2 linked regions of the Ovis aries genome follow. The protein of the gene in region 2 interacts with the protein of the main gene of each other region in a pairwise test. Links are inferred from orthologs where the notes say so. Each region holds a gene or a part of one and is shown on either strand. Other genes may lie near its edges.

Evidence for each region.
Region 1: the proteins of ALDOA (region 2) and ENO3 interact in a two-hybrid assay, tested with the Homo sapiens proteins (2 studies listed by BioGRID and IntAct, with this or other methods). The link is inferred for Ovis aries from reciprocal best matches to the Homo sapiens genes ALDOA and ENO3.

The regions. Positions count from the first base shown.
Region 1 is NC_056064.1:26,316,503-26,327,521, forward strand, and holds ENO3 (beta-enolase), read right to left. Parts: upstream 6,599-11,019; 5' UTR 6,544-6,598; coding exon 6,528-6,543; intron 5,975-6,527; exon of another isoform or gene 5,946-5,974; intron 5,341-5,945; coding exon 5,254-5,340; intron 4,976-5,253; coding exon 4,880-4,975; intron 4,500-4,879; coding exon 4,441-4,499; intron 4,278-4,440; coding exon 4,208-4,277; intron 3,789-4,207; coding exon 3,655-3,788; intron 2,719-3,654; coding exon 2,496-2,718; intron 2,404-2,495; coding exon 2,206-2,403; intron 2,020-2,205; coding exon 1,818-2,019; intron 1,398-1,817; coding exon 1,289-1,397; intron 1,133-1,288; coding exon 1,074-1,132; intron 988-1,073; coding exon 918-987; 3' UTR 835-917; downstream 1-834. Other genes in the region: PFN1 (profilin-1), read left to right, coding at 8,793-8,924, 10,365-10,557. UniProt on the Homo sapiens protein: Glycolytic enzyme that catalyzes the conversion of 2-phosphoglycerate to phosphoenolpyruvate. Appears to have a function in striated muscle development and regeneration.
Region 2 is NC_056077.1:26,725,419-26,736,410, forward strand, and holds ALDOA (fructose-bisphosphate aldolase A), read right to left. Parts: upstream 6,289-10,992; 5' UTR 6,183-6,288; intron 5,895-6,182; exon of another isoform or gene 5,833-5,894; intron 5,182-5,832; 5' UTR 5,167-5,181; coding exon 5,026-5,166; intron 4,829-5,025; coding exon 4,702-4,828; intron 4,615-4,701; coding exon 4,403-4,614; intron 3,555-4,402; coding exon 3,500-3,554; intron 3,370-3,499; coding exon 3,209-3,369; intron 2,875-3,208; coding exon 2,791-2,874; intron 2,674-2,790; coding exon 2,499-2,673; intron 2,335-2,498; coding exon 2,135-2,334; intron 2,046-2,134; coding exon 1,950-2,045; 3' UTR 1,743-1,949; downstream 1-1,742. Other genes in the region: late cornified envelope-like proline-rich protein 1, read right to left, coding at 8,190-8,303. UniProt on the Homo sapiens protein: Catalyzes the reversible conversion of beta-D-fructose 1,6-bisphosphate (FBP) into two triose phosphate and plays a key role in glycolysis and gluconeogenesis. In addition, may also function as scaffolding protein.

The sequences.
Region 1 (11,019 bases), on a different chromosome or scaffold from region 2:
CATGGGGCTGGGATTACTTTACATTCAATAAATACCATTTGACCCAATGTCTTGGTTTGTTAGCAGAGAGAAAGGTAGGCTTTGGAGAGGAGGTGAAATAATTATAGGTTGAATAATATAAACTTGCCTTTGTGGGCCAAAGATGGCCAAATATTGGCACTTCTGCAGAAATTCCTAAGGGATGGTGTTTTTTAAGAGCACAGTCACTATGGCCAAGTGGTCTAGCTTTGGATCCTGGCTCTGCCACTTCCTGTCACCTTGGTAAAGTATTTTGCCTGTTTGTGACTCAGTTTCCTCACCAGTAAAATGGGGATAATAATGGTAACTACCTGATAGGACTGTTTCAAAGATTGCATATTGATAATAGTTTCCCATCCTCGAGGCTCCATGGAAATGTAGCTGCTTTGGTTCCCATGACCATCCTCACCAAGTACCTCAATTTCATAAGGACAAGCACTCAGACCTCAGCACTGCAGTACCCTCCGCAGACCCCATAAATTTCCCTTTCCGGGCAGATCTGATCCAGCTTCCCCCTCATGGTGATGTCAGACCTTGGTCCTCCACCCCTCTGGAGCTGGTTCAATGTTCTGTCAGTTCCTCTTCAGCTTCATTTCACATAATGCACAGGCTTTCCCCTGCCTCCTTCCATAATGTGAGTGTAATGGTTCTGCATCCAGCCCAACTTCCTCTCTGACCAGTCCCTCACTTCCTCCTTGTTGCAGCGGGTTCCATGTCCACTCGCCCCTCCTGCCCCTACCTCTCCACCTCCTGTCTGATCCAGCCCAGGGACCAGCATCTCCTCTCCCCCTTCCCATAAACGAGCAGGCCACTGACTTGGTTGGCACCAGTGTTTTATTTCAGGGGGAAGGGCTTGAAGGCCCAGGTCTGTCCTGTGCACTCCTGGGGCCTCCAGCCTCTCACTTGGCCTTCGGGTTACGGAACTTGCGTCCAGCAAAGACAGCCTTGTCCCCAAGAGCCTCCTCAATCCTGGAAGGCAGACACGGTCAGGGCTGTGATATTCCAACCCAAAAGCCCTCAGCTCCTGATGCCCAGGCTCACTGTGCCCACGGTACCTCATGAGCTGATTGTATTTGGCCAGACGCTCTGAGCGGCATGGGGCACCAGTCTTGATCTGAAGAGAGAAGAATTCCAGGAGTTGCAAGCGATTAGAGAGAAGGGATTGCACCTGGCCCCAAGGGAGCAACCTGTGGTGGCATTCAGCTCTGGGGCAGGGAGCCAGGGACTCTAAGAAAACTCAGACACTGGGCAAAGGAGGGCCCAGGAGTACCTGTCCTGTGCAGAGCCCCACCACGAGGTCGGCGATGAAGGTGTCCTCGGTCTCTCCGGAGCGGTGGCTCACCATCACCCCCCAGCCATTAGACTGAGCCAGTTTGCAGCTGGGTGGAGAGGACACTTGATAAGGCCTGGTGGGACTTCCTCAGGGTGAAAGGCAGGGGGCTGAGTGAGGCCTTTCCGTTTTATTTTGGGGGATGAGAGATGTGTGGGGAGGGTAAAGTTCTTGAGGAAAGAGAGAAGGGGAGATTCCTGATCTTAAATTTGGATTCCTGAGATGCTGGTGGGAAGAAGCAGAATCTGGGAGATGGGGATGGCAAGGGTGGGGATGGGTTGAGGCAGCGTGACAATGACCAAAGTTCCAGGGTCAGGTCAGGAGTTAGTCAAAGGTTCGAGGTGGAGAGAGCGGGGTGGGTCAGGAGCCAAGCGGGAGTCAGACCTGGAGTTAGTGGGCAAGAGGGTGGCTGGAGAGGGTAGAGCTAGGTGGAGGGAGGCCATGATGCCCTGGGCCAGGAGGCACTCACGCCTGGATGGATTCAGTCACCGAGCCAATCTGGTTGACTTTCAACAGCAGGCAATTGCAAGCCTTCTTCTCCACCGCCTGGGCAATCCTCTTGGGGTTGGTGACTGTGAGGTCATCCCCCACAATCTGGATGTTGACCCCCGAGAGGAACGAGGTCCAGGTGGCCCAGTCATCCTGGTCAAAAGGATCCTCAATGGACACCACTGGTGGAGGAGGGAAGCAGAGTCGGGTTAAAGGTCAGAAGGGCCTCACAAAGGGGTGATGGGTCAGAAAATTGCAATGGGGCTAAGGATGGGAGGGATTGAGGTGGTGGCAGCAGAGGGGCCAAGGCCGGTGTGCTGAGCAGCTGCTGCAGACTTGGGCAGGAGCAGTGGAAGCCAGGGTCTCACCAGGGTAGTTCTTGATGAAGCTCTTGTACAGTTCGCCCAGCTTCTCTCCACTGATGTGCCGAGCGGGGTCATCAGGAGACTTGAAGTCGAGATCGTACTTCCCATTGCGATAGAACTCAGATGCTGCTACATCCATGCCAATCACCACCTTGTCGGGGTAACCAGCCGCCTGGATGGCCGTCTTCAGCAGCTCTAGGGCTGGGAGAGGGCAAGGGAGGACTTGAGGCTCCAGTGCACCCCATCTCTGTGGGGACCCCCAGCGTCCTGCCCCTCCAAGTGCTCACACTGACCTTCATTGTTCTCCAGGATGTTGGGTGCAAAGCCACCCTCATCACCCACATTGGTGGCGTCCTTCCCATACTTGGCTTTGATGACCCCCTTGAGGTGGTGGTAGACCTCGGCCCCAATGCGCATGGCTTCCCTGAAGGAGCTGGCTCCCACAGGCAGGATCATGAACTCCTGCATGGCCAGCTTGTTTCCAGCATGGGAGCCCCCGTTGATCACGTTGAAGGCCTGAGACAGGGAGAGGGTGCTCAGAACCTGGGCCAGTTTTTCCAGGAATCAAGAAGGGACTGGGGTGGCGGGGGTGGGGGGGGTGAAGTCAACATGGAATCCTGGATCCCCTACTTACTGAGTGGTCTAGATGAAAAATTTTACTCCTCAGAGCCTCTGTCCTCATTTTCATAAAATAGGGATATCATCTGCTTACCTGAAGGATCTTAGGTGAAAAATTAAGAGAAGTTGGATGCACAGTTCTTAGCATGCGCACCTAACATTGTCATGGCACTCACTACAGGCCAGGCACTGCTCTAAGTTCTTTATAATATTTTATTGGCTCATTTCGTTCTCTAAACCACCCTGTAACTAGGTACAGTTTATTATCCTTCACTTTACAGATGAGGAAACTGAGGCTCAGAGAAGTTCAATAAACTTGCCAGAAGTCACACAACTAGGTAAGAGACAAAACCAGGATTCGAACCCAGCAGCTTGTCTCCAGAGCTCAGGCTCTTACACAATCTGCCTAGTAAGTAACAATAAATGGTAACATTATTGTTGCGATTAAATTCAAAGGGTTTCCATAAAGAGCAAATTTGGTTTCATAAGGATTAAAGAAGACACAAAAATAAAACGCCCAGATCTTTGCTATGAAGAAGCTCTCCATCCAATCTGGCGTTGGGGCACAGCAGAATGAAAAAGTGGAGTAACTAAGCCTGGGATTGGAACGTGAAGGAGCCAGTTACATCTAGGGAAAGAAGCAGAGAGAGGTTGAAGGGAAGGTTTGGACTGTGGGAAAGGGGAAGGTTGAAAGGGGACGGCAGTAGGAGAGGTTCCATTTCGAGAAACTGTTTCTTGGAAGTTGGGTCTGGAAGGTGGATTTTCTGGGGGCTGCCCCTGCCCTCCCCCGATGGGTGGAGTGCCTGTGGGGTGTGACCTGGTGGCTGCACTCACAGGGACTGGGAGGATCAGCTCTGGGTTCCCCGCAAGATCTGCAATGTGTCGGTAAAGCGGCACCCCCTTCTCAGCTGCTCCAGCCTTACACACGGCCAGGGACACGCCCAGGATGGCATTGGCCCCAAACTTGGCTGGAGGAAGCAAGTATAAACTGTGAGTGCTCCACCCACAGGGTTTAGGGCTGTCTCCCAGAATGTCCCCTCTGGTCACCCCAGAAAGAATCCAGAGCTCCAAACCACTGGGCACTGAGTAAGTTAACCTATCTCTTCCCCACCCTACCCGGCCCCGGGATCCCCCACCCTAGGGAAACTTGTCAACTTCATGTCTGTATCCACAGCCGGGCCCAAGCCTGGCATGGGGCAGGCATCAGGAAATGCCTGGGGGATGAGTACAAATCCCGCCCGTTACACTGTGCCCCAAAATGCAGGATGCAGAAATAATCCTAACCAGACCTCAGGCCACAGTCCTCCCCAACCCCGCCCCTGCATTCCAGCCCCTACCTCTGCCCTGGCCCCCACAGCCCATCCCCTGTCCCTAGCCCTTCACTCACATTTATTCTCTGTCCCATCCAGCTCAATCATAAATTTGTCAACTTTTTCTTGATCCACTACACTTAGTTTCTGAAAAGGCAAGTTTAAGGAGGGGAGAGCAGAAGTTAGATTTCTCAGGAGTCAGGATGTGAGCTAGAGGAAAAAGACATGCAGGTATCGGGTCAGAAGGCTTGGCTGGCCAAGCCTGAGCTTCTGGGGATGAGGCAGCAGGTGGAGTGCGTCTTCTACTTGCCTTTTCCAGCAGCGCGGGGCCGAGGGTCTTGTTGATGTGTTCCACAGCTTTCAGGACCCCTGGAGAGGCCGCAAAGCAGGGGGTTCAGATCTCCTATGCAATCAGGTCTCTTCCCGAGGCCCCCAGCTCCTGGAGAACTTTCAGTTTCCCTTCTTCTTCCGATGCCCAACCTTTTTGGCACCAGGGACCAATTTCATGGAAGACAGTTTTTGCATGGACCAGGCATGGGGTAGGGGTATGGGATGGTTTCCATATGATCCAAGTGCATTCTACTTATTGTGCACTTTATTTCTAATCTAATGTTGCCAGTGATCTGACAAGAGGTACCAGTCCGTGCCCTGGAGTTTGGGGACCCCTTCTCTACCTTATGCAGACATTTCATGCCACATCCTGAAAGCCCCCCTCACATATGGCTCCTCCAGCCTTGGTCTTTCCTCACCTTTCCCCAGGTAGCGAGACTTGTCTCCATCTCTTAGTTCCAGAGCTTCATAGATACCTGTGGAAGCGCCACTGGGCACAGCTGCTCGGAATCGGCCTGGGATGGGAGGAATTGGAAGATCACAGAGAATCCCATTCACCTCCAAAGGGCCGAGGTCTCCTCTTGGAACCCAGAGACAGGGGGCAGTGTAGAGAGACCATGGCTCCTCACTGTGGGGTGGGGGGGGCGGAGTCAAGCTGGAAGAGCAAGGCTTGGGGAGAAGTCTGGAGAAGGGGATTCCAGAGAAAAGAGTGGATGTGGCATGCAGCTGGGGGGCAAAGGCAGATGGAGTTGGGGGTCTTCCCAGGTAAACCAGTTCAATAGCCCTGGGTTACCCTTGGCCGTGTGCAGGTCCACCTCCACAGTGGGGTTGCCCCTGGAGTCCAGGATTTCCCGGGCAAAGATTTTCTGCATGGCCATGGCTGCAGGGTGAGAGGTGTGAGTAAGTGTGGACAGCTGATCCCTTAAGGAACCCCAAATCCCTTGCCCTTTAAGAGTCTTCCCCACCCCAAGGAGGCAGGTGCTGGAGCTAAAAATACCTCACAAAAAGGTCACAGACCAAAGTGGCAGGCACAGCCCCCTCCCCCACTCAGAACAGCTCCTATTCCACCCTCCCATCCTCAGAATATGGGGCCTCTCTTTTAAAACTCCACCACTTGCTGAACCCCATCTCCCACAAAGCTGCACTATGCCTTCTCCCTCCACCCCCTGGCCAAATACTCTGTTTTCCATGGCTTCCTAGCCTTTAAAGCCTCTCCTGTTACTCTACCTCACTTTTCCTGCTCCTCAGCCTTCTCCAAATCCTCAGGGGGCCCAAATTCCACCACCTGGCTCCAACTCTAACTCCCCTTCTCCGTCATCTCTGTATGCCTCTCTTCACAGTCTCGTTTTCCTATCCTTGGGTACCCCCATCCTGTATGCTCCAACTCCTCCAGGATTCTTAAGCACAAGCTGACATTTCCCCCAGGCCAGCACAGCCCTCATCCTTTACCACCCCCATCCCCTGGGGCTGGAAGATTCACCAGACCTGGGATGTCTTCGCTGGGCTCTAAGTCTAGGTGGCAGCTGGGACAGTGTCAGCTCACCCCCTCTCAGGCCGGGAATTTATCCTGGAGCCACCCTGTACCCCAGCCAGCCCCGCCTCTCCCCCTCTCCATCCTCCCCCTGAAGCCAGGCTGGCAGCCAAGTGCCCACTACAGCCTAAAGCAGCAGCTTTTGGCCCTAGGCACCTGCCCCCTTCCCAAAAGGTCAATGACTATCCCCTCCTTTCTCTGTTCTCCAATAAAAGTCCTTATTTTTAATTCCGTTCCTGGGCAGAAAGAGGAGAGGGGCTTCAGAATTGGGGGGAGGGGTCTCTCCCCGTGTCAGGATTGTATTCCTCTTTTGCAAAGGTTAAAGAGGAACTAGTGCCCTTTAGGAAAGGCCAAGGGTAACCTGAGCCCTACAGGGCTGGGGAGGGGGCCTGGAAAAGGGGCTGCAGGAGTGACATCCATAGCTCACTTGGCGGGCGGGGGACTGCCTCTGTCCTCAATGGGAGCTGGGGAGGGGGTTCCGGCCGAGAGCAGAGCTCTAAATTGAACTGCCCACTCAGAAGGCGAGAGGGTCTCACCTCTCAGGGTCCTCATGGCGGTCTCTCTCCGCTCCACCCCATCCTACCCTCTCCAGGCCGGCGAGGGGAGTGGGGGAGGGGGGGAGACAGACGAATTTAGACAGGCCCTAGGAGTTGGCGCGGCGCCCTGCTGATAGCGCTGGGACAGCACTTATCGCCGGCGTGGAAGCTGTCAGTCAGAAGCCCTTTCTCCACCGATCGCGACTGCTGGCGCTTTAGGGCGTGATCCCAGCCCATCAATGAATGGTGCTGAATCAAAAGTGACCCCCCAAAAAATGAATGGACAGAAGGTGAAGTGCCCCTTTCTGAGCGTCTGACCGCCGGGGGCCAATCGGGTGGGCCTCTAGCACGGCGGGGAAGTGGGTCTCTGCAGTCTGTGACTCTCTCCGTCTCAGTGGGTGCGGCGCAAGTAAAGTCAGCCCTGACTTTGGCTGCAGCTCCGGCCAGGAGCGGAGGGCATGCGGGTTTCAAGCCGGCTGGCCGGCCGGCGGGCGAGGGTCACCGGCTTCTCGGCTCTTCGCCCCGGACTCAGGAGACCTAGCCTGCCGGCGCCTGAGCGGCCGGCGCCCGGTGACTCACCCCCAAGCTCTCTCCCGAGCTCCCCTCCCCGCCCTGCCCCGCGGTGTGTCTCCCAGCCTTCTCGCCACCCCCCACCCCCTTATCTCTGGCCGCTCCCTCTCGGGAGATTTCCACCCTGGGGTAGGGGGTGCGGTAGGCCAGAGGTCAGGATGGCGGGCGGGGAGCGCCGCCACGTGCCCGCCTGCGGCCCCGCCCGAGTTGGCCAGTGACTCAGCCGCGGCGGCTGTCGAGGAACACTGGTTCGGGGGGCGTCGGGTGCTCCGTGGGTTCCGAGTGGCCGCGCCCGCTACGGAGGACAGGAGGGAAACGAAGCCCCTTCGCGCCCGGGAGCCGCCCCTCCCCCGAGGGACCGGAAGCGGCCTAGCCCCTCAGCGGCCCCGGCGGCCAGCGCGAGCTAGAGTCACCTAAGCCGGACTCCAGGTCCTGCCCCACCCGCTTCCCGGTGGATAGCCAGCGAACTCATCGCACACAAGTTCTTAGCTTAAGTTTTACTGAAAAAGAACAAGAAAAACCCAAAAGGGCAAAGTTGAAGGGACTTTCCTCCTCTTGAAAAAGTTGCAATCTTGAGAAACCGCTTAGTATTCTTCCGCCTTGGAAAATAGGCCCGCCCGTCTGGCCCCACGGTGCTCAATGACCTCTGCAGACACGGGCCAAGGGGCACAGCCGGTGACCCAAACTGCTGACCGGGGTTCGGGCAGGGCTGGGACGTGGAGTGAGGAATGAGGCTGGAGCCGATCCAGTGAGTCACAACCCCCTGGAGTCGAGGTGGGCTCCAGTGAGTACCGCTTGTGCCGCCCGGGCAGATGCTGGGGACAGAAGTGTCCCTGGTGGGTGCCTTCAATTCTGAAGACGGCCGGGGGTATTTGGTCTAATTTCCTTTTACTACCTTATTTCTTGAATAAATAAAATCAAGAGGGCAGAAGCGGCCAGGCACACGCCACGCCTCGCCTCCGCCCCTTCCGCCCGGCGGGAGACACGTCCCCGGCCTGCCTGCCCTCACCGAGGGTCCAAATCAGTCCCGCTTGGCGCGCCCGGGCGCGCGCCCGCGAAGCCCGCCGTCTGCCCTAACCGCCCCACGCGCTTTCCCTCTCGGCCCCGGCGCAGGCGCGGGCGCACGCGCCCCGCCGCCGCCCGCCGTTCCTGCCCCCGGCAGAGGTGGGGGAAGGGGGAGTCGTTCTGTTTAACCCTGAGTTACCCGAATCCTCTTTAATTTGCTAAATTTGCAGTTTGCTAATTCTTACTTCTTTCACTTTCCTTCTTCCCTGTGGCTCACTACCTTTCCTTCCACTAAAGTCTGATAGTTTAGGCGGAGTGGAGCGGGCCCTAACCTTAACCCATCCCCACCCACCCCGATTCTTTTTGCCTCGCTTTCCATCGAACTCTGCAAATTTTGCAATAGGGGGAGGGATTTTTTAAAATGCATTTGCAAAGTTCGGTATCTGGGCAGGAGAGGGGAGGGAGAGAGGGAGTGGGGAGCAAGCCCCGCCCCCACCGCCCTTTGCAAATAAAAATCTAGGGGGGTGGGGAGGAGCAGGAAGTGGCGGTGCGAGGGCTGCTGCACAGCTAGCAGAGCCGCGGTCCGGACGGCAGCGCGTGCCCCAAGCTCTCCGTCTTCCCCCGCCCGCCAGCCCGAGCCCAGCCCGCGGCCCCAGCAGCAGCCCCGAGAGCAGCCCCAATAGCAGCGCCATGGCCGGGTGGAACGCCTACATCGACAACCTCATGGCGGACGGGACCTGTCAGGACGCAGCCATCGTGGGCTATAAGGACTCGCCCTCCGTCTGGGCCGCCGTCCCCGGCAAGACCTTCGTCAACATCACGGTACTGAGAGGCCTGCACAGTCCTGGGGACTGGCCCGGCTTGGACCCTGAGGGAGGGACTCGGGTGGGGGCGGGCGCGGTCTGCGGAGGGCGGCGAAAGGCCGTGACCCGGTCCTTGCCCTGGAAGTGGCGCGAATGGCGGCTGCACGTGAGCGGGCCCCTCCATGGCCCCCTGAATCCTCCGCCCCGGGCGGCGGCGCCCAACCCGCCCGCCGCCCCGCTTTCCGCGACGGGGCGTTACATCCGGGGCACGGGGCGGGGAGGGTGCGCCGCCCGGTGCGGCGGCCCACTTCCGCCTCCTCCAGGGCGGGTCGGGCACGCGCCGTAGTTTCTACCCAGGATTTTGATTGAGCAGGGACTTGGGGACCCCGGGACCCCTAGCTCCACTTCCGGCCGCCAGCTCGCGCCCCTTCCACTATTGTTCCTCTGAACCGGGAGGGAGCCCCAGTCGCATGGCCTGGGTCCCTAGCCCGATCTCCGTGGGTTCCCTGCCCCTCCCAACTCCATTAGAGAGGGCTAGGGCGCCACACGACGACCCCCTCCCCGCCAGTCGGCCGGTCGGACTCAGCATTCTTGAGAGACCAGTCCCGGGAGTCCCCTCGCCTTCCCTTCCCGCCATCAGGCAGGGCCTGGAGCAGGGGAACTTTGTGAGAAGTTCTAGGACAGTATAAGTGAAGGAAGAAGGGATGACTGCTGCTGTCCCCATCACCAACTCCCCTGTCCACACTGCCCGGAAGTGGGGAGGGGGAGCGGAAGTTCGAAAGGGGGGGAAGGGGATTTCCGGGCGGGAGGGGACCGGATGTGGGGATTTGGGGTGTAAGGGGGAGGGGAAGATACGTTCCCCGGGGTATCTAGACCCGAGAGCTGGCTGTCGGGTCTAGCCCCAGGCCCCCTCCAAAAGTTCTTCGACTTTCGCTGAATGCCCCAAGGCATCTGCTTGCTCATCTTAGAGCATAGATACCTGAACCTAAACTCTAAGTTACTTAGAGACCCAGGCGTCCGGGCCCCTAACAACTCCTGCAGAACCTTTGACCAAATAAGGGCAAAGTTGCTTCTCCTGCTTTGCCCGCCCCCTCCCTTCCCCTCTTCGCTTCTGCTTTTCCTGAAGGAGAGTTCTGAGCATCCAAGGCTCTCCACTCCATTCTCTTAACTGGTTTTTGGCCCCATTTATTTACTGGGTTTGCTTTCCCTATTAAACGACATCTAAATCGACATCTGAGTCAGAGGACCATGTTGTCCCTTCCTAGTACCATTCTCTAGGTTTCAAGATCATATTTTTGTGCACTTCCAACAATCCTGAGTTTCTCAAATTTCACGAATGTGTACAAAGCACATAACATACACCTTTCACCCCAGGGGGCTTAGCTTCCTTGAGAAATGGAAGACAGGTGAGAACTTTGGTGTATTGACTAACTTGCTGGGTGCTTGGTTCCCTTTTCAGCCTGCTGAGGTCGGTATCCTGGTTGGCAAAGACCGGTCAAGTTTTTTCGTGAATGGGCTAACGCTTGGGGGCCAGAAATGTTCTGTGATCCGGGACTCACTGCTGCAGGATGGAGAATTTACCATGGATCTTCGTACCAAGAGCACCGGTGGAGCCCCAACTTTCAATATCACTGTCACCATGACTGCCAAGAGTGAGTTCTTACCCATTCTCTAGCTCCAAAATCCCTAACGTACCTCCTTTTGTTAATCTTTTGGGTTCTTCTGTGTGGTCACTTAGTATGAAAGGATCAAACCAGGTTTCTACTCCCAGCCTGCTGGATGCTGGGGCATCGAATTGTTCCTCTAGTTCTGTCTCAGTGCCTCACCATACGCCTCACCATACGGTGTAGAGAAGTTGAACTGTATTACCTCTTAAGTTGCTTCTTACCTTGAGCATTTTCAGAGGAGAAACTCCCTGTTTTCTTGGAGGAGGTAAAAGGTTCATTGTAAGTCAGCATTCTGCTCTTGTCTTTTGAGCTCTTTTGTGAAAACTTGGAGGTGGCCGGCTCATCCACAGCCATTTCTAGCCTGAACACATGAGTCAACAGTCCAGGAGCCTTTGACCCCTAAATTTTACTGTGCTCCTTTCCAGCCTTTAAGCTTGATTTTCCCCT
Region 2 (10,992 bases):
AGCTAAGAGCTTTGGATTTGAATCAAAGTTGATTTGAACCCAGGAAGCTGTGTCCTAAGTTCTAATTTCTTCTCCTTCTGCCACTTACTCTTTCTGGTGTTCACGTTGTTGTTATAAACTTTATAAAAACACCCTAAACTGGCATTTGAAGTCCTCTGCTTCCCTAGTTTCTTGCTGCAGGCAGAGGAAGTGACTGGTCTTTCAACAAATTTCTTGGTGCCAGAGGCCTTTTGGAATGTCCATTTTGCTATCTTCTATGGACCCTCAATTTTTATTTGCTTTACTTCAGACTGTTTCACAGAGAGCTGAGTGAGGCTAGGTACAGTAGTGAGGCTGGCCGATTTGAAGGGACACTAGATACAGCTCGGTTTTGGATGTAGGCAACAAATGCAAATGTGCAGAGAAAGGGAAAGGACAAACAACTCCCAGGAGGTGCTAGGTTTCTATGCAGATGACTGTAGGACTTCAGAAGGTACAGAGATCAGAAAGATGAAAAATGTTTTTTCTTCCTCTAGAGTGGCACTCAGACAGGAAAGAGTTCACATCAGGAAATTTGGGCAGTGGCAGGACTAATGCAGTCCCTGGCTATGACTAGAATCTTTAATACCTGAAAAGATCTGGTGTCGTTAGTATACTCCACAGCCTGGGTGAATGGGGAAGGGTTCCAGGCATGACATAGGGTAAGTGCAGGACCCTCATTCTGGCTGCATTGAGTGCAGAAGCCACAGAGGTTCAATTCTTAACCTGGAACCTGAGCGCCACAGTTCTGTTGGTACATATTTGTCTGTCTGTTGTTGATGTGGGTGTTAGGATCCCAGGTTCTTCAAGGGGTTCCACAGCTCAGAAGTCAGCCCTTCTCCTTTTAAAGATGGGAAGACTGATGAGCTCAACCGTATTAAGGATATGCATTCATAATCTTGTTTCAATCAATACATTTCCCAGCAAGATGTCTTAAGGACGAATTGGTAATAGCATACTCCTATAGAATACTTTGGAGAAGGCAATGGCACCCCACTCCAGTACTCTTGTCTGGAAAATCCCATGGACCAAGGAGCCTGGTAGGCTGCAGTCCATGGGGTCGCTAAGAGTCGGATACAACTTAGCGACTTCCCTTCCACTTTTCACTTTCATGCATCGGAGAAGGAAATGGCAACCCACTCCAGTGTTCTTGCCTGGAGAATCCCAGGGACGGGGGAGCCTGGTGGGCTGCCATCTATGGGGTCGCACAGAGTCGGACACGACTGAAGCGACTTAGCAGCAACAGTAATCGCATTCATCTCTTCAAGAAACACTCATCTTTGGGTCCTTGACTGAAGTGACTTAGCATAGCATAGCATAGAATACTTATGTTGCCCAGTTTACAGATTCAGGACAGCTTACTTTTTGTCAGTGGCTATTTTTTGTATGTATGTCACAGGGGCCTTCTATACCTGTGAGTTCTGGGCCTAAAACTGAGGCTGAGGCTGCAGCCTCCTAAGGAGGCTGCACACACACTTCCTAACTGTAAAGGCCTTATCAGATGCTGCTGGTAGAAGGAGCAGAGCACTGGCTGGTTGGAAGAAAATCCACAAGCTTTTCTCATGAAGCCCCGGGTAAGCATCAAACAGAGTACTAAAGGAGTCCATCTCCTTCACCTACTTTTCTGCTTCAGAAAGAAATAAAGCAAGGGCTCTTTCTTCTCTGGGCTCTGCCACCTCCCCCAGGCCTCCCCTGCCCTAGAGATCACAGACATGCACACCAGATTCCCCCTTAAATAGCTGTTTATTGGCAGTAGGCTGGAAACAGTGGAGTTAGCGTACACAGACAACACCAGGCACCAATGTCACAAGGAGGCAAGAGTGACGGGAAAGAGCAGCCTGGAGCCCCAGATGAAGCCCCTCTCTTCAAGAGTGAGTGTGGGAGGGGACGGGGCCTGGAGTGTTGAGGGGGCAGCCTTAGAACACGTTGGCTTAGTAGGCGTGGTTAGAGATGAAGAGGGATTCGCTGGCTGCAGCCCCTGCCTTACCACTTGGGGTGTACTTTCCTTGGCAGGCAAGGCTGTTGGCCTAAGAAGGGAGAGGAGCCAGAGTGAGAAGGTCCCTTCTTAGAATCCGGTCCACCCCAGCACCCTGCCCGCCTCCTGCTCCATCCTTACCAAGGCTCGCTTGACGTATTCTTCCTGGGCAGCCTTCAGGTTCTCCTTCTTTCCACCCCAGGCCTTCAGGGCAGAGGCCTGCAGGGCTCGGCCATAAGAGAAGGTCAGGGCCCACGGCTTCAGCAGGGGGCACTTGTTGATGGCGTTGAGGTTGATGGATGCCTCCTCCTCACTCTGGCCTCCGGATAGGAAGGTGATACCTGTAGAATGAGGGGGTGACATGGGGGGAGGGGTTGTAGTCAAGCAACCCAGGGGACTGGAAGAAGGCCCTAGAAGCTGACCTGGAAATCAAGACCATATGGGCACAAGGATCACGGGTAAGTCCATCTACCTCCCAGAGGTCAAGATGAGGAATGGGTCTCACCAGGGACAGCGGGGGGCACTGTGCGGCGCAGTGCCGTGACAGTTGCCATGGCAATCTCCTCGTGAGAATATTTCTGGGTGCAGGCGTGGCCTGGGGTTACCATATTGGGCTTCAGCAAGGTGCCTTCCAGGTAGATGTGGTGGTCACTCAGAGCCTTGTAGACAGCAGCCAGCACCTACAGCAGGGTGGGACCGAAGTGGGGTGAGGTGGAGTTGGGGGGACGAGGGTCACCCCAGGGGCCCCGGCCCACCTCCCTAGCCCACCTCACTGCCCAGGCTGGCAGGCCACCTACCTTCTCGGTTACATACTGACAGCGTTTCAAGTCATGGTCCCCATCAGGGAGGATCTCGGGCTCCACAATGGGTACAATCCCATTCTGTGGGGTGAGGAACAGGGTAGCAGTGAGGCCTCCTAACCCAGAGCCCCACCTCCAGCCCTCCACAGCTATTCACCAAGATCTTATCTCCAGGACTCCTGGCTACACAGCCCTCCCCAATTCAAAACAGATTGGAGGAGATTAGCTGTCTCCTCAGATCCACCCACATAATCCCTATTCTGCCCTTCTGCCTGCAGAGCCCTTCATGGACCCAAGCCTGGAGCTTGGTGAGGATTCGGAGCCTTGGGATAAGCTGGCAGATGGGTGGCAGGCCAGCTGACACACTGGAATGGAATCAGGTGGGTCGTGGCCTGCTGGGGACCTACAGGCCCACCTGCTGGCAGATGCTGGCATAACGGGCCAGGACATTGGCGTTTTCCATGATGGCGAGGGAAGAAGGGGTGTGTTCCCCGATCTTCAGCACGCAACGCCACTTGGCAAAGTCAGCTCCGTCCTTCTTATACTGGGCACAGCGCTCCGAAAGCCCATCCAGCCCTGAAGAGGGGACAGAGGGGTCAGAGCTGGCCAGCGGAGGGGGCAGGTGGCTCCCACCTGGCCTGGGCACCCAGTGGGGTACCGACCAGGGTGGGCTGGTTGGTAGGGCCAGGAACTAAGCGGTTCTCACCTTGGGTGGTTGTCTCGCCATTTGTTCCTGCCAGGGGTACCACACCTTTGTCTACCTGTTGGGGTGGAGGGCAACAAGATAGGATGGGAAGTGGTCTCTGGTGCCCTTTTTTCAATCTTTGATCAGGGAACTAGATCTCACACACCGCAACTAAAGAACCCGTGTTCTGCAACGAGGATCAAAGATTCTGGGTGTTGCAACGAAGACCAAGCACAGCAGATAAATAGTATTTAAAAAACAACAACAAAAACTCTTGCTCTACAGCCTTTTTCTCCTCTGTAGCCCCACCCTGTCCCAGCTTTACTTCATCTCTCAAGTATCCTTCTGGTTTGCCAGTGTTTCACTTAGCCATGGTATCTGGTCCCAAGAGGCACACACAGAGAGCTTGAATTCTACCATTTACTAAGTGTGAGCAAAACACTTCATGGCCTTGAGCTTCTGGTTTTTCAATGATATAAACATAACCTGTGGCTTTTAAAATCACAAGGATTAAAATGCCAAGCAAGTCCCATAAGTTACTGGCTTCTTACACACAATTTGGAGGTGATCGGGGCAGACTCCACCCAAGTCTCCCCACCCAGTTCATCCCCACCCCAACCCCTGCCTGTTATCCTGGATTTCCTTGCCCCTCATCCATCTCACTGGGCTTCCCAGGTGGTGCTAGTGGTAAGAACCCGCCTGCCAATGCAGGAGACATAAGAGACAGCAGGTTCGATCCCTGGGTGGGAAAGATTACCTGGAGGACATGATAACCCACTCCAATATTCTCGCCTGGAGAATCCCATGGACAAAGGAAGCTGTGGGCTATGGTCCATAGGACTGCAAAGAGTCGGATATGACTGAAGCGACTTAGCACACGCGCATTCATCTCACATCTCCCACCCCAAGGCCTAGCCCCCTCACCTTGATGCCCACGACGCCGCCCTTGGCTTTGATAACTTGGGGGAAGGGACGCCCATCATCAGCCTTCTGGTAGAGCGTCTCGTGGAAGAGGATGACGCCCCCGATGCAGGGATTCACGCGGTCGTCGGCGGTCAGCAGCAGTTGGCGGTAGAAGCGCCGGTTCTCCTCAGTGTTCTCAGTGCCAATGGACTGCAGTCGCTTGGCAATGCTCCCTGGAGGAAAGCATCACATGGGAATTAAAGGGGTCAGCCGCTCAACCCCACCCCCTGGGCCCTCCTCCCCCTGTGCCCTGCCCGCACCGGTGGACTCATCTGCAGCCAGGATGCCCTTGCCCGGAGCCACAATCCGGTGAGCGATGTCACAGAGCTCCTTCTTCTGCTCCGGGGTGAGTGCTGGGTATTGGTGGGGCATGGTGCCTGTCAGTTCCTGGGCGAGGAGACACATGGGGGAGGGCTAGTTAGTGGAGTCTTCCCCTGGTCTCCCAACCAGCAGGGCCCCTTGCCTGGAGGTCAGGGGAAAGGTTTCCTACCTCCCCTGCCCCACTCCCGGCAGGTCTCGGGGCACTTCCTGCCCCAGGCTCTCCCTTACACCCAACTTCCCTATAGTAGGCCTGCCTCCTGTACCTTTCCTAACTCTGTTTGTTTCTGGGTGTTACCCAGCTGAGGGTGGGGCTGTATATTGGCATCTGGCCTAAAGGAATAGGCCAGAGCCATGGACAGGCAGGTCATGTGGAAGCCGGACCCTTCTGGCTTGCGCTGTGCCATGGGGGTCACCTTGCCCTGAAGCAAAACCAAACCGGAGTATTTTGGAATTAGAAGTTGTGCGGAAGGCAGCAGGCCCAACCTTCTCATCTGAAAGAAGCCAGAGAAGGGAAAAAAGCTGTGTATCAAGCCACACAGCAACCCAAGGGCCTGATCTGAGATTAGAACTCAGATCTCTGGCTGTGATACGAGTGTTCCTTCCAGTCCACCTGAGATCCCAGGGCTGGCCCAGGTTCCATTGCCTCAAGGACACCCCAAGGTCAGGCTGCTCCCCCAAGGCGGGGGGGAGGGTGTTAGGAAAAAGGTGGCGGTGTGGGGTGGTCCTCGGAAGCCCAGAAAAGGGCGGCGAAGGAAACCTAGCCCGGGGGGGCGGGGGGCGCGTAGGAAAGGAGTGAGGGTTGGCCTCACTGCTCATGCAGGGTAAGACAACGTGGAGGAGAGGCAAGCGCCCCACCCCTTCCCCTGAAAATGCTCCTGTCTGCTCCGCGGCTGCAGCTGTTCCAGGCTCAGAATCAAGGTCACCCGATAAGGAAAGATAGGGAAAGTGTTAATGGGGCTTCATGCGCTGCCAAGAGGTTTCCCCTCCTGGCCAGGAGCACCGGTCTCCCAGGATAGGGACCAACCACCCGCTTTTGGGAACCCTGAGGCAGTAAATGAGCTGGCTCCCACCTCTCGATGCCTCCTAGGATCCCTGCAGAGGCAAAGGGGCCGTCATTTTTGCACCCGGAGTCCTAACAAGAAAAGGGGAGCGGGGAACGGCCCTTCATCTCGCCTGGCTTCCTTCCTCCCCGCTGTGACTCAGCGCGCGGAGCGGTTGCTGCGTTGCGCAGCAAACCCAGGGAGCTCAGGCTGGAAGAGTCGGGGAGGCCGGGCTAGGAGCAAACGTGTGGGTGGTGGCGGAGGAGGAAGATGCTGGGGCCGGGTTGGGGGGCTCCGTGCGGACCCCCGACCGCGTCTGCCCCCGGGATCCTTCGCCACGACCCCCTCCCTGACCTTCGCACGTGGCGGGGAGCGCTCACCTGGCACAGGAGAGGGGCAGGCTGGCGGGGCGCAGCGGTGGAGGGCTGGCGGAGTGGACTGAGGGAGGGAACGCGGCACTCGTCACCAGGACTCCGGTTCGGCGGCGCGTTCCAAGAGGAACGCAGCCTATTCTACTCCTGAGGCGGGGCGCGGGGGCGGGCGGGCAGGAGGTGGTGCCGGGCCTTATAAAGGCACCGCTCCGCCCCGCGCCGGGTTTTTCCCTTTGCAGGGGGCCGGAGGCGCCCCGGCGTCCAATGGCAGGCGAGGAAATGTGCGAAAGGCCGCCCCCGAAGGGCGAAGCCGGGAGGCGGCGCTTGGGCGGGGACTGTCCGGCGAGAACCGGAGCCCTTCCCCCTCGTTACCCCTCGGACGTGACTCGGGCCACATCCCGCGGGTCGCCGGGGCCCTCCCCAACTCCTCTCCTCCCCCGACCCCCCTCCCCTCCGCCTGGCGTGCTTCGGGGCGCCGTGACTCAGCCGAATTTGGGGCCCCAGAGGAGATGGGAATGGGGTGGGTTCGGAGGAAAAGCGGGTGGCAGAGCCCGAAAACAGCGAGGCTCAGCTTCCCTCCCGCAGGCCCATCGGGCGGTCTGGGGCAGCCCCAGCTTCCGGAGGCACTGAGGCAGCGAGTGTCACATTGTAACCGAATCTAGGGGCCCGGGGACTGCCCGCCCGGGCGCAGGAGAGGGCAGCGCGGGCAGGCTCCCGGAGCGCGAGCCGGCAGCGGTTCCGGGTATCCCGCCCGGCGGGTATCCCCGCCGCGTCCGCGCTCCATCCCGGCAGGTCCGGCTCCCGGGACCGGGAGAGCCAACGTGGCCCGCGAGTGCGCACGCGCCCGCCGCGGGAAGCCGGACCCGGCGGGAACCCGCTCGGGCCGCCACTCGGCCCGAGCAAGTCTGGGGATATGGGGCCAGAGTGCTTGCAAAACTTCTCCCTGGCGCCGACTTCCCTCTCCAAAATCAAATCCGCCCCCTGGCTGTCTGGCTCCCACATTCTTTCCGAGCCTCCCCATCCTACCGGCCGGGTCTCCCCCTCCTAAATCTCGGAGCCTTCAGCCCAACCCCAACCCCGCTCCGTCCGACTGGCGCCCACCTGTGAGGAGGAAGCCAAAGGCGCTGGCGAGCCTGGTCAGCAGCGAGTGAGCCAGGCCCCGCCCGGACTGGGTTATAAGGCAGCTCCCGCCCTCCCCCCAACCGACCTTCTCCGGTGACCCCTGCCCTTTGCTCACCACAGATCCCCTGGCAGGGACCTATATTTAGGGAAACCTGAAGCCCCTGACATTCACGCCAGCGTGGGGCCTAAAGTGAAGGATGGGGAAGAAGCTTGTGGGCCTGCCTATTTTGGGGGTAGCGGGGAGGGCCCCCTGCCCACTCACCGGTACTTCAGAGATTTCTTCCTTGGACATCCAGACTGAGGCCCTCAACAGGCTGTCAAGAGAAGTAAATCTCTGGACAGCAATCTGTGAGGAAGGAAGGACGGGTAAGGGGATGCAGACCTGTGGCCTTCCCTGCCTCCTCCTCAGACCCCCCATCCCCTGACTCTGGGCCTCACAGGGCTGTCCTGATTCTTCAGAGGCAGAGCACACAGGCAGGCACTACAGTCACACCTCAAAATAACCAAGAGTCCATGGACAGGGTGTGCCTGGGGTAACCCTACAGATAGTCAAGTTTGTCCCATGCTCTGGACGGTGAGCAGTGTCCCCCAACCTCACCTTCAAATATGATCAGTTACTTGGGGAGGGGGAGTCAAGGGCAGGGGGACCTGCTGGAGCACCAGCCCCTCTCTCTTCTGGCCCTGCCAAGGGGCTGCCGTCCTGTTGGCCAAGGGCTCTGTGAGTCCCGCTCTTCAGGGAGCCAGGCTCTCCACTGCTGGTTCCCAGGTCGGTGAGCTGGGCAGGCCATTTGTGGTTCCAATGGCCTGGAGAAAGGTGTCCTGAGTCCCCTCAGGGAACAGGGCCTGTGGCCCCTGGGGGCTGGCCGCTCCCCAAAGAGCAGGGACCCTGGATCGTCATCGGAGCTTGATCTCAAAGCAGAGGCAGTTGAGGCTCTGGCAGTCAGGAAGTTGGCACGCACAGGCACAGTCGCAGAGCGGGCAGCAGCGAGGGCAGCGAGGGGCCCAGTCCTGCGGGAGAGGAGTTGGGGTGAGGGAGGTGGGCGAGGGAAGGGCACCAAAGCCTGGAGCTGTTTCCTTTTCAAGGGAGAAGGGAACAGAGAGGCCTGGAAAGTCCCACTTGCCCAGTGGATCAGAGGGTACCATCCACCACTCCTGGGAAGAAATCAGCTCCTTGTGATGTTGAGAAATCAGCCAGGAGGCAATGTTCCTAACAACTGGAAGGAGCTGGAAGAAGTCATTTGGGGGGGAGGTCATTTCTTTTAGGCTTCCCGGTTGGCACTAGTGGTAAAGAATCCGCCTCCCAGTGCAGGAGACTCCAGAGACTTGAGTTCGATCCCTGGGTTGAGAAGAGCCCCTAGAGGGGGGCATGGCAACCCACTCCAGTATTCTTGCCTGGAGAATCCCATGGACAGAGGAGCCTGGCAGGCTATAGTCCATGGGGAAGCAGAGAGTCAGACCCGACTAAAGCAACTTAGCATGCATGCACATCCCTTCTTTCTTCCCATTTTATAGATGAGGAGACTGAGGGCCAGAGATCAGTTAGCCCTGGCCCCACACTTACGCCCCAGTGTTCAGCTCAGAGATGGTTCCACTATACGCTTACGACCCCATACAATTGCAAGTCATTAAGACAGGGAAAGCACACACACTCTATGATGAAAACCACCTGCTGGTTTTGTGGATTTCTTTCTTGGCCTGAGACCAAGCTGGCTGTCATTCACCTTCCATTTCTGAGCACCTACTCTGTGCCAGGCACAGACTGTGTCCATGAATGATTTTAAAAAGTCTTTTTAGTTTTCCTTAAAAATGGTAATTTTCCTATTTAATTTTTTTTTTTTTTTTTACTATTTAAAAGGAGTCACATTTCTTTATCAGAACCTTGAGTAGAGGGCCTCCTTACAAAAGAGGAAATGAAGGTTCAGAGAGGGAGTGATCATGCAAAGGAATACAACTAGGGAAGGGGGCTGGGATGAGGCCAGGCCTGCCTGCTTCCAGCCCTGCGATCCTGCTTTGATCCCACTGCTTCCCAGGGCCGTGAATACTAACTTCTTTCAAGATTGCTAAGGCAGGGACAGTTCACCTCCTATCTCCACTGAGCTACCAGGGGACTCAGGCTCAGCAGGTGCCTGAGATACAAATGAACGTTGAATGGGTGATTCAATCAAAGCAAATAAATTTTCTCTCTAGGCAGAGAAGAAGAGGGGAGGCAGAAAGTCTGCCTCTCATGGGATAGGAACAGCATGTCCTTAGAGACAGGAAGGGAGAACCGGTCTGCTCCAATCCACTCTGCTCCTGCCGTGGGACACAGATGATCTGCCACTGCTCCAGGCATGGACTGGAGTCCAGCCAAATGGCTGGAGTGGGTCACACCCAGGATGGGTGACAGAAGATTGGCTCCTTGAGGCCTGAGGCAGAGCTAGTGACAGTCACAGTTGCACAGCTCAATCAGACTCCAGGCCAAGCCAGGAATAGGGGAATGACCTTTAGAAGAGCTGAGGTTTTGGGGTGCGGTGTCGGATGACTGGTGAGATCAGATATCACTAGGGGCTCCGGTGAGGGGAGGGTGCATTGGTCCCTGCCAAAAGAATTCTCTAGGAGGAAGCAAAAGTATATCATGGCGGAGGGGAGAGAGCAAAGCGGCTTCCTTGTGTGTGATGGGGGTGTGGTTTGGGGGCATCTCTGGGGAGTTCTGCTCTAGGCTGAAGTCAGCTCTATGGGTTTTTGGAGGACTGCACCATCATTCTGTGTGCAGAACTGGGGGCTGAGAGAGGCCACACTGCCCTCACCTCAGAAAAGAGGGTATTAAAAGCATTTCTTGGCTCTGCTCCCCTGGCAGGGTTTGGCTCTAGTCATTAAGAACTAGCTAATGGATATTTTGACTCTCGCTGGCAGCCCTGTGGCTTCTGTAAGGAACCTGCTTTTCAAGGCCTTTTTAAACAAGGGCTCTGCATGACCGTTAACCCTCGTATTTATCTCGTCTTTCACTCTGATTTCTTTCACTCTGAGGTTGTAAGGGCCAGTCATCATTACTGTTTGGAGCTCGGGGTTTGAATCTAATTCAGCCCCACGCTTGGCCGATTGGTGATTTGAGCCTCATTTTTCTCATCTCTTGGAGAAGGGAATGGCAACCCACTCCAGTATTCTTGTCTGGAGAATTCCATGGACAGAAGAACCTGGCAGGCTACAGTCCATGGGGTCACAAAGAGTCAGACACTCTGAGCAATTCTCACACACACACACACTTTTCTCATCTCTGAAATGGATTTAGGAAGTAGAACACCTCCTTCACAGGGTCACTTGGGGAATTAGTGGAAGGCCTGAAGCATGGTGCCTGGCACACAGTGAGTTCTCACCAAGGGGAGCTCTTCGGGTCACAGCTCTCACCCTTGAGCAGTATGATGAGTACATATGTTGCACTCTAACCCTGCACTTTAACCCTGGTGTATTTGTCTGCCATCTAAGAACTTGCTAAAGATTCGCAAATTCCAACTCATTCCAAATCTACTGGGCATGGGGCCCAGATGCCTGGCTTTCTGTTTAAGCCTCACCCCTGCTTCTGATCACACCCGGCGCTTAAGAACCAGAGCTGTCCCAGATTGCATCATTTCTCACACTCGAATGTTAACTGCCTACATATTTCTCCCTGTCCTTTGCAGGAACGTAAGCCCCATGACGTTTGGGGCACATCTACCTTGTT